Linked DNA regions of Saccharomyces cerevisiae S288C. The main gene of each other region encodes a partner of the protein of the gene in region 4 in a complex. Each region holds a gene or a part of one and is shown on either strand. Other genes may lie near its edges.

The links.
Region 1: MRPL22 (region 4) and MRPL31 share a complex: the UniProt entries of both Saccharomyces cerevisiae proteins name them as parts of the mitochondrial large ribosomal subunit.
Region 2: MRPL22 (region 4) and MRP49 share a complex: the UniProt entries of both Saccharomyces cerevisiae proteins name them as parts of the mitochondrial large ribosomal subunit.
Region 3: MRPL22 (region 4) and MRPL25 share a complex: the UniProt entries of both Saccharomyces cerevisiae proteins name them as parts of the mitochondrial large ribosomal subunit.

The regions. Positions count from the first base shown.
Region 1 is NC_001143.9:184,786-187,541, forward strand, and holds MRPL31 (mitochondrial 54S ribosomal protein mL60 MRPL31), read right to left. Parts: upstream 897-2,756; coding exon 501-896; downstream 1-500. Other genes in the region: HSK3 (Hsk3p), read right to left, coding at 18-227; CMC1 (Cmc1p), read left to right, coding at 1,172-1,507; APL2 (Apl2p), read right to left, coding at 1,675-2,756. UniProt on the Saccharomyces cerevisiae protein: Component of the mitochondrial ribosome (mitoribosome), a dedicated translation machinery responsible for the synthesis of mitochondrial genome-encoded proteins, including at least some of the essential transmembrane subunits of the mitochondrial respiratory chain.
Region 2 is NC_001143.9:133,128-135,907, forward strand, and holds MRP49 (mitochondrial 54S ribosomal protein mL61 MRP49), read right to left. Parts: upstream 1,008-2,780; coding exon 594-1,007; downstream 1-593. Other genes in the region: putative serine/threonine protein kinase KKQ8, read right to left, coding at 1-335; cAMP-dependent protein kinase catalytic subunit TPK3, read right to left, coding at 1,382-2,578. UniProt on the Saccharomyces cerevisiae protein: Component of the mitochondrial ribosome (mitoribosome), a dedicated translation machinery responsible for the synthesis of mitochondrial genome-encoded proteins, including at least some of the essential transmembrane subunits of the mitochondrial respiratory chain.
Region 3 is NC_001139.9:636,557-639,191, reverse strand, and holds MRPL25 (mitochondrial 54S ribosomal protein mL59 MRPL25), read left to right. Parts: upstream 1-1,614; coding exon 1,615-2,088; downstream 2,089-2,635. Other genes in the region: PEX8 (Pex8p), read left to right, coding at 1-1,448; U4/U6-U5 snRNP complex subunit PRP38, read left to right, coding at 2,317-2,635. UniProt on the Saccharomyces cerevisiae protein: Component of the mitochondrial ribosome (mitoribosome), a dedicated translation machinery responsible for the synthesis of mitochondrial genome-encoded proteins, including at least some of the essential transmembrane subunits of the mitochondrial respiratory chain.
Region 4 is NC_001146.8:303,149-306,499, reverse strand, and holds MRPL22 (mitochondrial 54S ribosomal protein uL22m MRPL22), read left to right. Parts: upstream 1-1,884; coding exon 1,885-2,814; downstream 2,815-3,351. Other genes in the region: TDA7 (Tda7p), read left to right, coding at 1-1,430; 40S ribosomal protein uS3 RPS3, read right to left, coding at 3,098-3,351. UniProt on the Saccharomyces cerevisiae protein: Component of the mitochondrial ribosome (mitoribosome), a dedicated translation machinery responsible for the synthesis of mitochondrial genome-encoded proteins, including at least some of the essential transmembrane subunits of the mitochondrial respiratory chain.

The DNA.
Region 1 (2,756 bases), on a different chromosome or scaffold from region 4:
GTCTTACCTCTTATGCCTTATTGCGTTTTTCCAAGCATCTGCTCCATATAATAAATGTAACTACCTATCAACCAACTTCCATGTACCTTACCCAATTGGCCTACCAAGTTTTCGTTACATTGTTTCGACATGATATCTAGTTGTTTTGTCGTTTCCTGTAAATTCGTTTGAAGCTCTCTAAGTTCGTGTGCAAGCTGATTATACTGCCTTTGTTTGTTAGCGTTCATTCTCTTGCCTGAAATTCTTTGTGTCCTCTTCGTTTTGAAGTTCAAATGTTCTGATATGTTCTATTTCGCCATTTATCTTGTTGATCTTTCTTCCCACCTTTACAAAAAAATAACGTTGATTTCAATGGGCATGATATAATATGAGCAATACAAAACATCAAAGCCTTCTTAGGAGTGTTACTTTCAAACATGGATCTATAAACAAGTTATTCAATGATTAAACTATATACAGATGAAATTTTTATATCAATAAAACGATCTTTTACGTATCATTCAAAAGAATTTTGGGGCCTTTCTAATGGAAATCTTCGTCCACTTGGGCACCTTATGAATACCCTTCCTATAACCAACAGCTTTTTTATCAAAAGTCCAATATTTATCTTTAGAAGACATTTGATTCTCCTTTGGAAAGACTGATGGTTTGTTTAACAACCTTAACGATTTACTTCTTGGCTTGTATTTCTTTTTGCTCTCCATGGCTTCTTGATAAGTAAGACCTTTATCCTGACATCTTTGGACGTGGAGACCTAAAGTTAATTGCTTTATGACTTGATCAACGTTTCTTAATCTTTCCCTTTGACGGGTTTTTTGATGTGTGGACATTCTCCATGGAATTTTCCATAGTAGGCCACCAGCGACGGGGCTTGTTAATTTGAATGGGCCAAACATTGGAGTCTTATAACTTGGGTAGCCTTTTAAATACGTCTCCTTCCTACAAAGTACGGATATCTTTTTTCCCTCTTTGGCTTCCCTTTGTCCTTTTGTTATACCGTTCTCTTGAACTTTTTGAATGCTCTTGTACTTCTCCGATTATAAAGTTGAAAACGGAGTGCCCTGTATTTATACCTATGATAGTTTAGGAAGATTTAACCATAATTAAAGCCAGAGATACAAAAGTCGAATATCTTCAAGTTATCTGGAACAACTTTCATATATTTGATAAGATGGAGCAAAACAAAGATCCGCAGATGATCTCGAAACATAGTTCTAGGCTACCTATATGGGTGCTAAGTCCTCGCGAAGAACAACAGGCTCGCAAGAACTTGAAGACGGAAACATACAAAAAATGTGCAAATTTTGTTCAAGCAATGGCAGATTGTGCTAAGGCAAATGGAATGAAAGTTTTTCCCACTTGTGATAAGCAACGAGATGAAATGAAATCGTGCCTCCTGTTTTATCAAACAGATGAGAAATATTTAGATGGTGAAAGGGATAAAATTGTTTTAGAAAAAATCAACAAGCTTGAAAAGTTATGTCAAAAACAAAGCTCTACAAAATAAGCTGTGTTGATTGATGTTTTTGATTTACATCTTTTAAGGATTTTTTGATATATCCATTCTTGTACATAAATTATATACACACAGCCCAACAATAAAAAGGAAAAATTAATACGAAGGGTATATATGTATGGTATAATACTTAAGTTCACTACAACGGACGTTTATAGTCAGAATAAATCGAGGAGATCCTGTGACACTATATTGCCGCCCGAAACATCGGGATTGTTTTTACCACCAGAAGATATACCGTTTGAGTCGCCACCTAGTTTCAGCTCCTTCAACCCTTGTACAGCCTTGGTATCATTTGTATTTATTTGTGTGGCATCCTCAGATGGTCCGAAATCAAATAAATCATCCAAATCGCCTAAAGTTGTTAAAGTATTCAGCATTCCTGCATTTGTATTTGTTACATCATCTCTTTCATCAAAATCCAATAGCACATCATCGTTAGCCTTGCTAGAAATTTCATTTTTTGCCATGCTTTCTAATTCCTCTATATGTTTTCCTTTAACTATATTTTGAACATACTTTTTGCCTTTTCTCCTATTTGAGTCGGGCTTGAAATAAATGGAACTTATAGTACCCAATTCCATTAATAGTTTCTCTAGCACTTCTGGTGAAAACTTCTCCAGTGTATTGGAGATCATTGGAAGTTTATTTTGACATAGATCATTAACCAAACTTTCATTATTTGGCATCGAAAGGCATCTCCAATACATCATAGCCATATCTCGCACATCTAATTCATGTGTCTGTTGTGTGGCCAATTCTAGGACGCTTTGTAGCATACTACCCGTTAAAGTAGCATGTAGTCTGACTATTGTCATTAGTAAAGACATCTGTGTTAAAGCTTCCTCTTGAACAAAGTTCTCTATAAAAATATTGATTTTTGACTCCAAATCTGAGAAATTGTTGGGATGCTGTCCTAGCAACCAGACATAGTTGCACTTCGCAATATCTGATTGTAATAACACCTCTGGATTTGACCAAGTATTAAATACTGCACAAACTTGTTTGGCCATCTTATCGTTTCCGGGGCAATGTCTTAATAAATCACATAATGATATACAGCAGTCGTCTTTTATTGTGTCTTGTCTTTCTAACAATTCTAGGAGAATATCCAAGACTTTACTGACGAATGATTCTTGTGCATATTTAATACCCAACTGGGACAAAGCTTGAATAGCTCTTGAAACAAACTCAGGTTCATATTCCATTGCGTATTCCTTTAATTCTGTCAACAACAAAG
Region 2 (2,780 bases), on a different chromosome or scaffold from region 4:
ATAGAGCGATGTCTGGTAGGACTATTACTAGCACCACTTCCTGTCTGTCTAAATGGATGTGACAGGCCCGGGGTGCAACACTTCAATGTATAACTACGCTGGCGTATTGGAGAATTTTTTGGATCTAAAATTTGTGCGGATACGGTTGATCGTCTTGGTGGCTCAGAGCTTCTCTTGGGTGAGGTAGAAGACGATCGATAAGGAATTCGGGTGACATTAATAGGACTTGAATCTCTTGAACGAGGCGGCCTGAAAAGGTTTTTAAAGGACTCAGAAAATGACCTTACTCTTCTTGTCACAGGTTGTTGCCGCTTCTTCTCCTCCTGCATTACCATTGATGCTGTCAATGTTTTTGAGTCCATCATGCAATTAAACTAGCTAGTTGAAGTGAAAATGAAATTTCCTTATTTTCCACAAGAAATACGCGGAGGGCAAAAAAAGGGACCCAAGGGCTGACAATATTCAGCACAATCCTACTTATTGTACTCTAAATTATATACTTATATGCCCCATAAGTGAGTTTTGAATTTACATATTTCCATGAAGGGCAATGTTTTTTGATATATACATGAACAAACTTATCGAGAGAAAGCTTATATAATACTTTCTTGCGGTCCAACTCTTATGATCTCATTTTCAGGAAGAGGAACGTGCTCTATTTTGTCAAGTAAGTCTTTCATTATATCTTCATGCATTTTATTACGCATATCAATAGTCTCTACAACGGAGCCTTCATGAGATAAAATCTCCAGTTTGCATGGAACGCTTTTTTGCTTGTCTTCGTTCTTTATCCTTATCACGTCAAACTTCATTCTTGGATTATAGAACTGCAAAGTGGGTAGGTAGTTATGCCAAAAAACTCTGGCACCCATATGTCCATTGTGGTTTTTCGTTTGAAAAGTCAATCTAAGACCTGAGTATTTTTTAGGATCGACTAGAATCTGCGGTAGTCTGGTAGTGGCGCTAATTTTATTCAAAAATTTTAACTGTTGTGCAACCTTAGACATCTTCTTATTGTAGCAGGCTCACTTATGTTATACTGTTCTTCTATTAATGAGTTTTATGGCCGATTCTTACAGATATCCTGTTTTCCCTGGGTGAAAAGTCCTAGATCACTTTGAACGTCCCAGTCTTCTGAGGACGCAAATGTAGTCACAATATGGCGTATATGAATGCTCCTTTATTTATCTGTATACACCTCTATTGAATAGACGTACGTAGATATATACATGTACATATATGCATGTGTCACTTTTTTATCATGGCCCTGTTAGACTCACCAAGAATCTATAACCAGGTTTGTTTGTGCTTTTTCTTGTTCTTGTTTTTACTTTTATTGATTTTTTTTTTTTTTCAATTACAATTATCCCACTGAACCTCCTTAAAATTCTTTCATTAAATCCATATATGGATCCTCCCCTTGAATTCCATAGTTGAATTCCTCTTCAGGGTATCTGTCAAATTGAGAAGTGTCACCTTGGCCCTGTTGGATTGGTGGTTCGTACGGCGTTTCTATGTATCTTGCTAACAATTTCTCCCATATCACTTCGTTAAACCACGGATGGTTCTTGACATCTTCACTTCCATTTTGTAAGTTACCCAACCTTTCACTTAAGTCTCTGGTAATTAGCTTCTTCAATAAGTCCTGCGCGTCTGGATGGAAAAATGGTGGGAACTTCAATTCGGCGTTCAGTATATTTTCGTAAGTTTTCATGGTGTTCGAATTGTAAAATGGAGTGTATCCGGCAAGCATTTCATAGATTAGCACACCAAAACTCCACCAATCCACTGATTTATTATACGGTTTTGTACTGACCACTTCCGGCGCTATGTAATCTGGTGTGCCACATAATGTGTATGTGACATCGGGAACGTATTTTGCGAAGCCAAAGTCGGTTATCTTGATATGGCCGTTTTTATCTAGAAGGATATTTTCTGGTTTCAAGTCTCTATATATTATATCCTTACTGTGCAAATATTCCAACGCTAAGCATACCTCTGCGGCATAAAATTTGGCTACTGGGTTGGGAAATCTTTGAGATTTACGTAGTAAAGAAAATAATTCACCACCTTCAATGTAGTCCATTACCATGAAAACTTGCTGAGAATCTTGGAACGTTCCCCACATTCGAATGATGAATGGATGTGAAACAATTGAAAGCATTCGGCGTTCGTCATTGGTGTGTTCAACCTGCTTCAGCTTCACTATAGTGTGCTTTTTCAATGTCTTCAAAGCGTAAAACCTCCCATTGTGATTGGAACGAATTAGGTGAACTCTCCCAAATGAGCCAGTTCCCAAAGTTCTTAAAATCTGAAAGTCACTTAGGGAATACTTTCCTGAGGTATCTCTATATTGTAGCATTGGTTTTTTAACCAAACAAATACCTGCAGACGCTTCTTCTTTCAACTTTCCGCTGTTTCTTCCATTTATCTCCACGGGTGTGTTGGAAGAACATTCCTCATGCACCGAATGTGCGTTTACAGGAATGTCTTGTCCAACGTTATCTGGAGTTGTTTCTGTCTTGGCAGTAATGCTTAATTTCCTGATTTCATTGTTGTTCATCGGATCAACATACATTTTGTGCAGGCTCGCTCTTTCCTTGTACAACCACCGATATACAATATGATTAATGTATTATTCAATAATATACGTGAAACTTTCTTATTGCTTAAAGAGTGATCGCCTATAAATTTTCTCCGACGACTGCACAAAGTGTCTCGTATGTCCACTCGAGTTTCTTACCGATAGAAGTAATAAAGCAGACAAAACTTTTAAGATC
Region 3 (2,635 bases), on a different chromosome or scaffold from region 4:
TTTCACAGTTGATGGTTTTGGATGGTGTACTAGTCACATACCCGAGCTTCAAACAATTGAACAACGCCTATTTTATTGATGAATCCAGCAACAAAACTGCGCTTTATTACAGAAACTGGAAATTACAACTGTTTTCACCAATATGGGCGCAGCTATGGAATACTGCCATTGTCAGGGCTAATTTATCGATTCAGCATTGCCTTCTGATAGCATTAGCTTTACTTTTTAATCAGTCAAACCGAAGCGCCCTTTTGCATGGAGTTGACGTATCATGGAATTTGGTCACAGAGAAACTATTGGACCTTTTGGAAGAGTATGTACACGGCATTGTGCAGCCGATGGAAATTTTTTCGACTGATTCAGTCTTATCAACCAACTTGAATCATTTGGCCAGTTGCTTGACCAGTTCAATCACGAGGTCAAATGAGGCAACTTTGGTAAATTCAGTACGCAAACTAGAAAGGATATGTCGATACTTGTCCGATACTGTGGCTTCGTTGAAAGAACAACAACTAGATTTCAAGTTCCAAAATGTATTTATCCTGATAATCCTCGCGTTAAAAGAATTATCCGCCATGAATATGACAATACTGCCTAACCATAAAGACACTTTTTATTCTATGATCTGTTTAAGCCTTTTCCACGTCCACGTATTGACTCAAAAAATCGGGACAGTCGGTTTTCCCAGTTACGATTATGTTTACGATAATTTAGTAACGTATTTCATTGTCATGGATGACTTGTCTAAAATCACTACAGTTTTGGAACTAATGAAAAGAAACAACACCAAACAAGATCCAAATAAATTAGTGTTTTACATCAATTTTCTAAACAAAATTACTAATTACTATGGGTGTCGCATTCGTTTGCCGTTTATTACTGAGTTTATCGAACCTTTACTGCATTTCGATGTATTTTTTAGCGGGAAGACGGGCAATACCTTGGATATTGAAATCAAAGAATCTATACACACATTGACAATCACTGTACTGTCTATAGACTCCTCTTATTCCTCACAGGTTGCACAATGGCAAGTATCCCGCATACTCGTCTATTTAAAGATGTCGATGGACCAATTTATTGCAGGTAAATTGTCCGCAAATCAAATTTTACTTATATTCGGCCATCTATCCACACAACTTCCCTCACTACATAATTATAACAAGCATTTGCTTAGGGACTCTTTGCACGAGACGTATATCAGAATTGTTAATGTAAAAAACCCAGAAAAGAAGAATGTATTGATTGAATGTCTGATTGTACAAATAGCCTTTATCAACAATCCTCATCATTTGATCGGCTGGTTGAACATCTGTCTCCAGCTAATCAATACACATAACAAAAAGCTACTTCAACAATTGTGGGAAATGGTTTCGAGTCTAGAATCCTCCCTAGCCATCGACTGGTGGTACACAACGGTCTTATCAAGTCAATCTTCTAAATTATAGTATCATTAAGTACTTTATAGTAGCGCCTTTTTATATTCCTTTTTTCTCAAACAAAAAAAAAAAATGACTGGGATACAAGTGAAAGTGGAAGAGCAAGTGAAATACGAAATAAAGTGAACCATTTATACAGAATAGGAAAACCAACTAGTGCATTAAACTAAACTCCATGTCATACAAACAGTATTTTGATAGTTTGCCTTTGAAATTGAAGTCCTTTTTCCAAAGATACCCCCCTTCAATCAAGTATTCTCCAGTGTCTACATCTACTAAAGCCATTAATGCCAATCCTTTCCTGCCAAATAAACATCCGGTCACACAACGATTTCATGATCCGAAATATTCACTTAGAAGAATGAGTGACGTATATAAGTTGGCACTGCGTTATGGAGTAGAAGAGTTTTTACCACCGATCGAAAACACTAAGAAACTTTTCTTCGAGGAGAAATACAATAAAAAGACCCTCATGAAAGGTGTTCTCTTGCCCAAGGGTCATAAGCATGAATTGAAATTAAACGAAAAGCTAAAAAAACGTGAAGAAGCTTTAAAGAAGGTAGATGAGTTGATTGCTTCCAAGAAGGGTTCGAAGTATGCCAAGAGAGTAGAAAAAATGAAAAAAAACCAAAGTATAGGCTGGTTCTGAAGAATAAGAGAGAAGATAACTATAGTTTAGAATAGTAAACCCTATGTGTACTGTTTTATGTTTTTAATGTCTAATCATGTAAATAATTTTGTGATATCAATAACGAACGTTCTGAACAAGAATTATGATAAAAAAAAGTAAAATCTAAAGCCATTACAACGCTATATTTTCAGTGGCAGTAAAAACGCAAGAACAAAAACAAAACGTGGGTAAAGAACAAGGACTACAATGGCTGTCAATGAATTTCAAGTGGAGTCTAACATCTCTCCAAAACAACTGAATAACCAGTCAGTGTCACTTGTTATTCCTCGGTTGACAAGAGATAAAATTCATAATTCAATGTACTATAAAGTAAATCTAAGCAACGAATCTTTGAGAGGCAATACAATGGTAGAGCTTTTGAAAGTTATGATTGGCGCATTTGGTACCATAAAAGGTCAAAATGGTCATTTACACATGATGGTTCTCGGTGGCATTGAGTTTAAATGCATCTTAATGAAGTTAATCGAAATCAGACCGAATTTCCAGCAGTTGAACTTCTTATTGA
Region 4 (3,351 bases):
GGTCGTCGTTATCATCACCATCTTCGTTACTGGTATCGTCCTCGTTGTCATTATCACTATCTTCATCATATTCAGACACTAAATTGTTTTCGTTCGACAGCAGATCTTCTATTTTCTCACCATCAACACCCACCGTAATATCCCCTAGTTACACATACTTGTCTTCCATATCTGCAACTTCATTTCAAATTAGTACCACTTCAGAACTCTCTTCTAGTTGGTTCTCAACAATTTCTTCTCCTTCTACGATATCAAATAAAGATACCACATTCCCAAGTTCCAGTCGGAATACTTCCACATCGTTTTACAGTTCATCGCTTTCATCGACGAACGATTTTTCAACCATAAGCAAATCATCGAAACTCAGTCCATCAGCTTCATCTTCGACAGTTTCCATAAGCACGATTTCCGTGCCAACGTCAAGTTCTGTTAGCTCATCCAGCAGTAAAGTACCTTCAAACCGTCCTTCATCATCATCATCATCAGATGATACAACAAGTGCTTACTCAAGCACGTATACTTTTCAGTCCTTACAATCTACTACTAGCAGCAGTATACCACCCACCACTCAAACACCCAGCACTAGTACGATTTCTACGTCTCCCATACCAACATCCAGTCAGGTCTTCAATACGGTAGCCATTTCAAGCTCCGAAGATTCAAAAACTATTTATTATTTCTATACCCAAACATATGATATTACTGACTCCTCTACAACGTTCGTGACGGGATTACCTACGACCATAGCAGTTGCAAAAAGTGAGGTAACCTCATTTTCCGCTCCATCTTCGACGATCACAGCTGACATGTCTTTCTATCAGCACTGGCTTGATGGCAGTTTGGATAATAACAAAAACCAAGGCACTTCAAAGACAAATACTGGTACCATTGTTGGAAGTGTGGTAGGAAGCGTCGGTGGTATTCTTATATGTGTACTAGTAGTTTGGTTCATGCTGGTTAGAAAAAGGAAGGCAAAGAGGCATTTCAAGGAAAACGATTCCTTCTGTCACGAGATTGGGCGCAGAACGGGATTCCCAACAACTGCCCAAGCAAAAGAGGCGTCACTTCAAGCTCAAGACTCGGGATCACAGCAACGAAACACCGAGACTGCTTCTGCTAATAATCCGTTCAGCAACGAATTCAATTTTAAGGCAAGAGGAAATCCTCCTCCAGTGCCACCACCAAGGAATGTTACCGCAATGAATGGCTCCTTTCAAAATATGCGGAGTAATTTCATGGACCAGGAAAACAGATTTTCCTATGGCTCTTCATTTACATATTCGTCATTGGGTTCATCTACTCAAGGTGGCTTTTCTACTTTATCTTCAAATTCGATACGACTCGGACGTGGTTTAGATAATGACATCTCTCATGATGAGAGAAATACAGTTCAGAACAATTCACAAGGGTTCTTGAGGGAAATTATATGACGATGACTTCAGTCTATTAGTATGATGTTTACTAATTAAGCAAAATCAGCTCTTGCTGAATAACACTACTATTAAAAATCATAAAAACATCTTTATTGCCAATAGTGAAGAACGACAAGGCCTTTTAAAAGGCATAAAAAACAATGATACCATTCTGCAATGAAAAAAAAAGAAAACTTTGTTCTTTGTGTATAAAGAAAATATTTTAGTTCTCCTAAATAAATAAATACTAAATTATACGAAACTCTTTCAGTCTTTTCTCCTGCTTGCTGCTTGAACAGTACTCATGATATTCTATTAATCTTCTGTGGGCGGGGTAACTAAGCCTTCACTGTACTCGGGATTTTGAATAAAAGTCAACTATCCAATCTGGAAGGCATTTTAACATACGCCATTAGGAGCCGCATAGCAAGTCAGAGAACCTCACCTCACCCTATCTTTTTTATTAAAGAAAATGAACTTCCACACGGCAAGAATATCTCAGGTCGGTGTCATTTCTAGGGCTCTACTTTCTTCTGTAAGTAGACGTTGGATTCATGTAACGCCAATAAGTCTTAATAATTCAGGAGGATCACTATTCGGAAGCATTACAGAAAATAAACCAAAGGAAGGAAAAAACAGGGGGGATGAAGATGCAGGCAGCTTCTCTAATAGGTTAGCGATTGCTTCTGATTCTTCTGGAGAGGCTCCTGAAGTTAATAGGGATTCAATAACCATAGAAAACGATAAACTACTACAGCAACATATCATATCGTTGCAGCAACCGGAACAATTAGCATCACAGAGCTTATTATCTCCTTTGAAAAGGGAAATATATGAAGCTAATTGTAAAATTAATGGTGGGTTTTACAAGAAAGATACTATTGTAAAGTTACCAAATTCTAGCGAACGTTACAAGCTAAAGTTAACAAAAAGAGAAATTGAAGTACTAGAACCTTCCGTATATGCTCAGTCATATAGAATTAAATCGTCGATGAAAAAGGCTACACTTTTGTTGAGGTTATTGGGAGGCCTCGACGTTATGAAAGCTATATCTCAGTGTCACTTTTCTAATAAGAAAATTGCTCGCGAAGTAGCAGAACTACTTCAAAAAGGTGTAAAAGATGGCCAAAAATTAGGTTTGAAACCAGAGGACTTATATATCTCTCAGATTTGGACAGGGAGTGACGGGTTTTGGAGAAAACGTGTTGAATTCAAGGCAAGGACAAGAATCGGAATCATAAGTCATCCTTACATACATGTCAGATGTATTCTGAGAACAAAGAGTGTTACGAAACGAAGACTTGCTTATGAAGCACATTTAAAAGAGCAAAAAAGAGCGCCATGGGTACAGTTGGGAGATAAGCCCATTAGGGGTGTTACAGGCGGCGTATACAAGTGGTGAAAACGATAGCGAACTCATTCATATCCGAGAAATCGTCCTGTAAGCTGAGAAAGATGAACTGCTACTCACTTCTTAACCTATATTCACAGTTGTGTTGTACAAAACTTTTCTTTTGATTATATAATATTGTGATTCTGTAAATAACAACTAGTTTCAACGCACTGCTTCAACGTGCACCCTCCTGACTAAACACGGCAATATGCAAGAAACCGCAACAATTAAGTGCACTAGAATAGAAGAAATTATTGTACTTATAGTTTATTTATGTATTTAATAATTAAATCTAAGCTTCAACTGGTTCAGCTTGAGCTTCAGTTTCTTCAGCTGGTCTGTAGTCCTTGACAGATGGAGCAAGAATTGGTTCTTCTTCTTTTGGTTCAATGATGGTGACAGCATCTGGCAAAGCCTTTGGACCAGTTCTGCTCTTAGCTGGGTCTCTCATAATCTTAACCTTGATACCCAAAACACCTTGTCTCATCAAGACGTGTCTAGTAGCAGTGTCAATGAAGTCGTTGACTGGTTGACCAGAGTGAATCA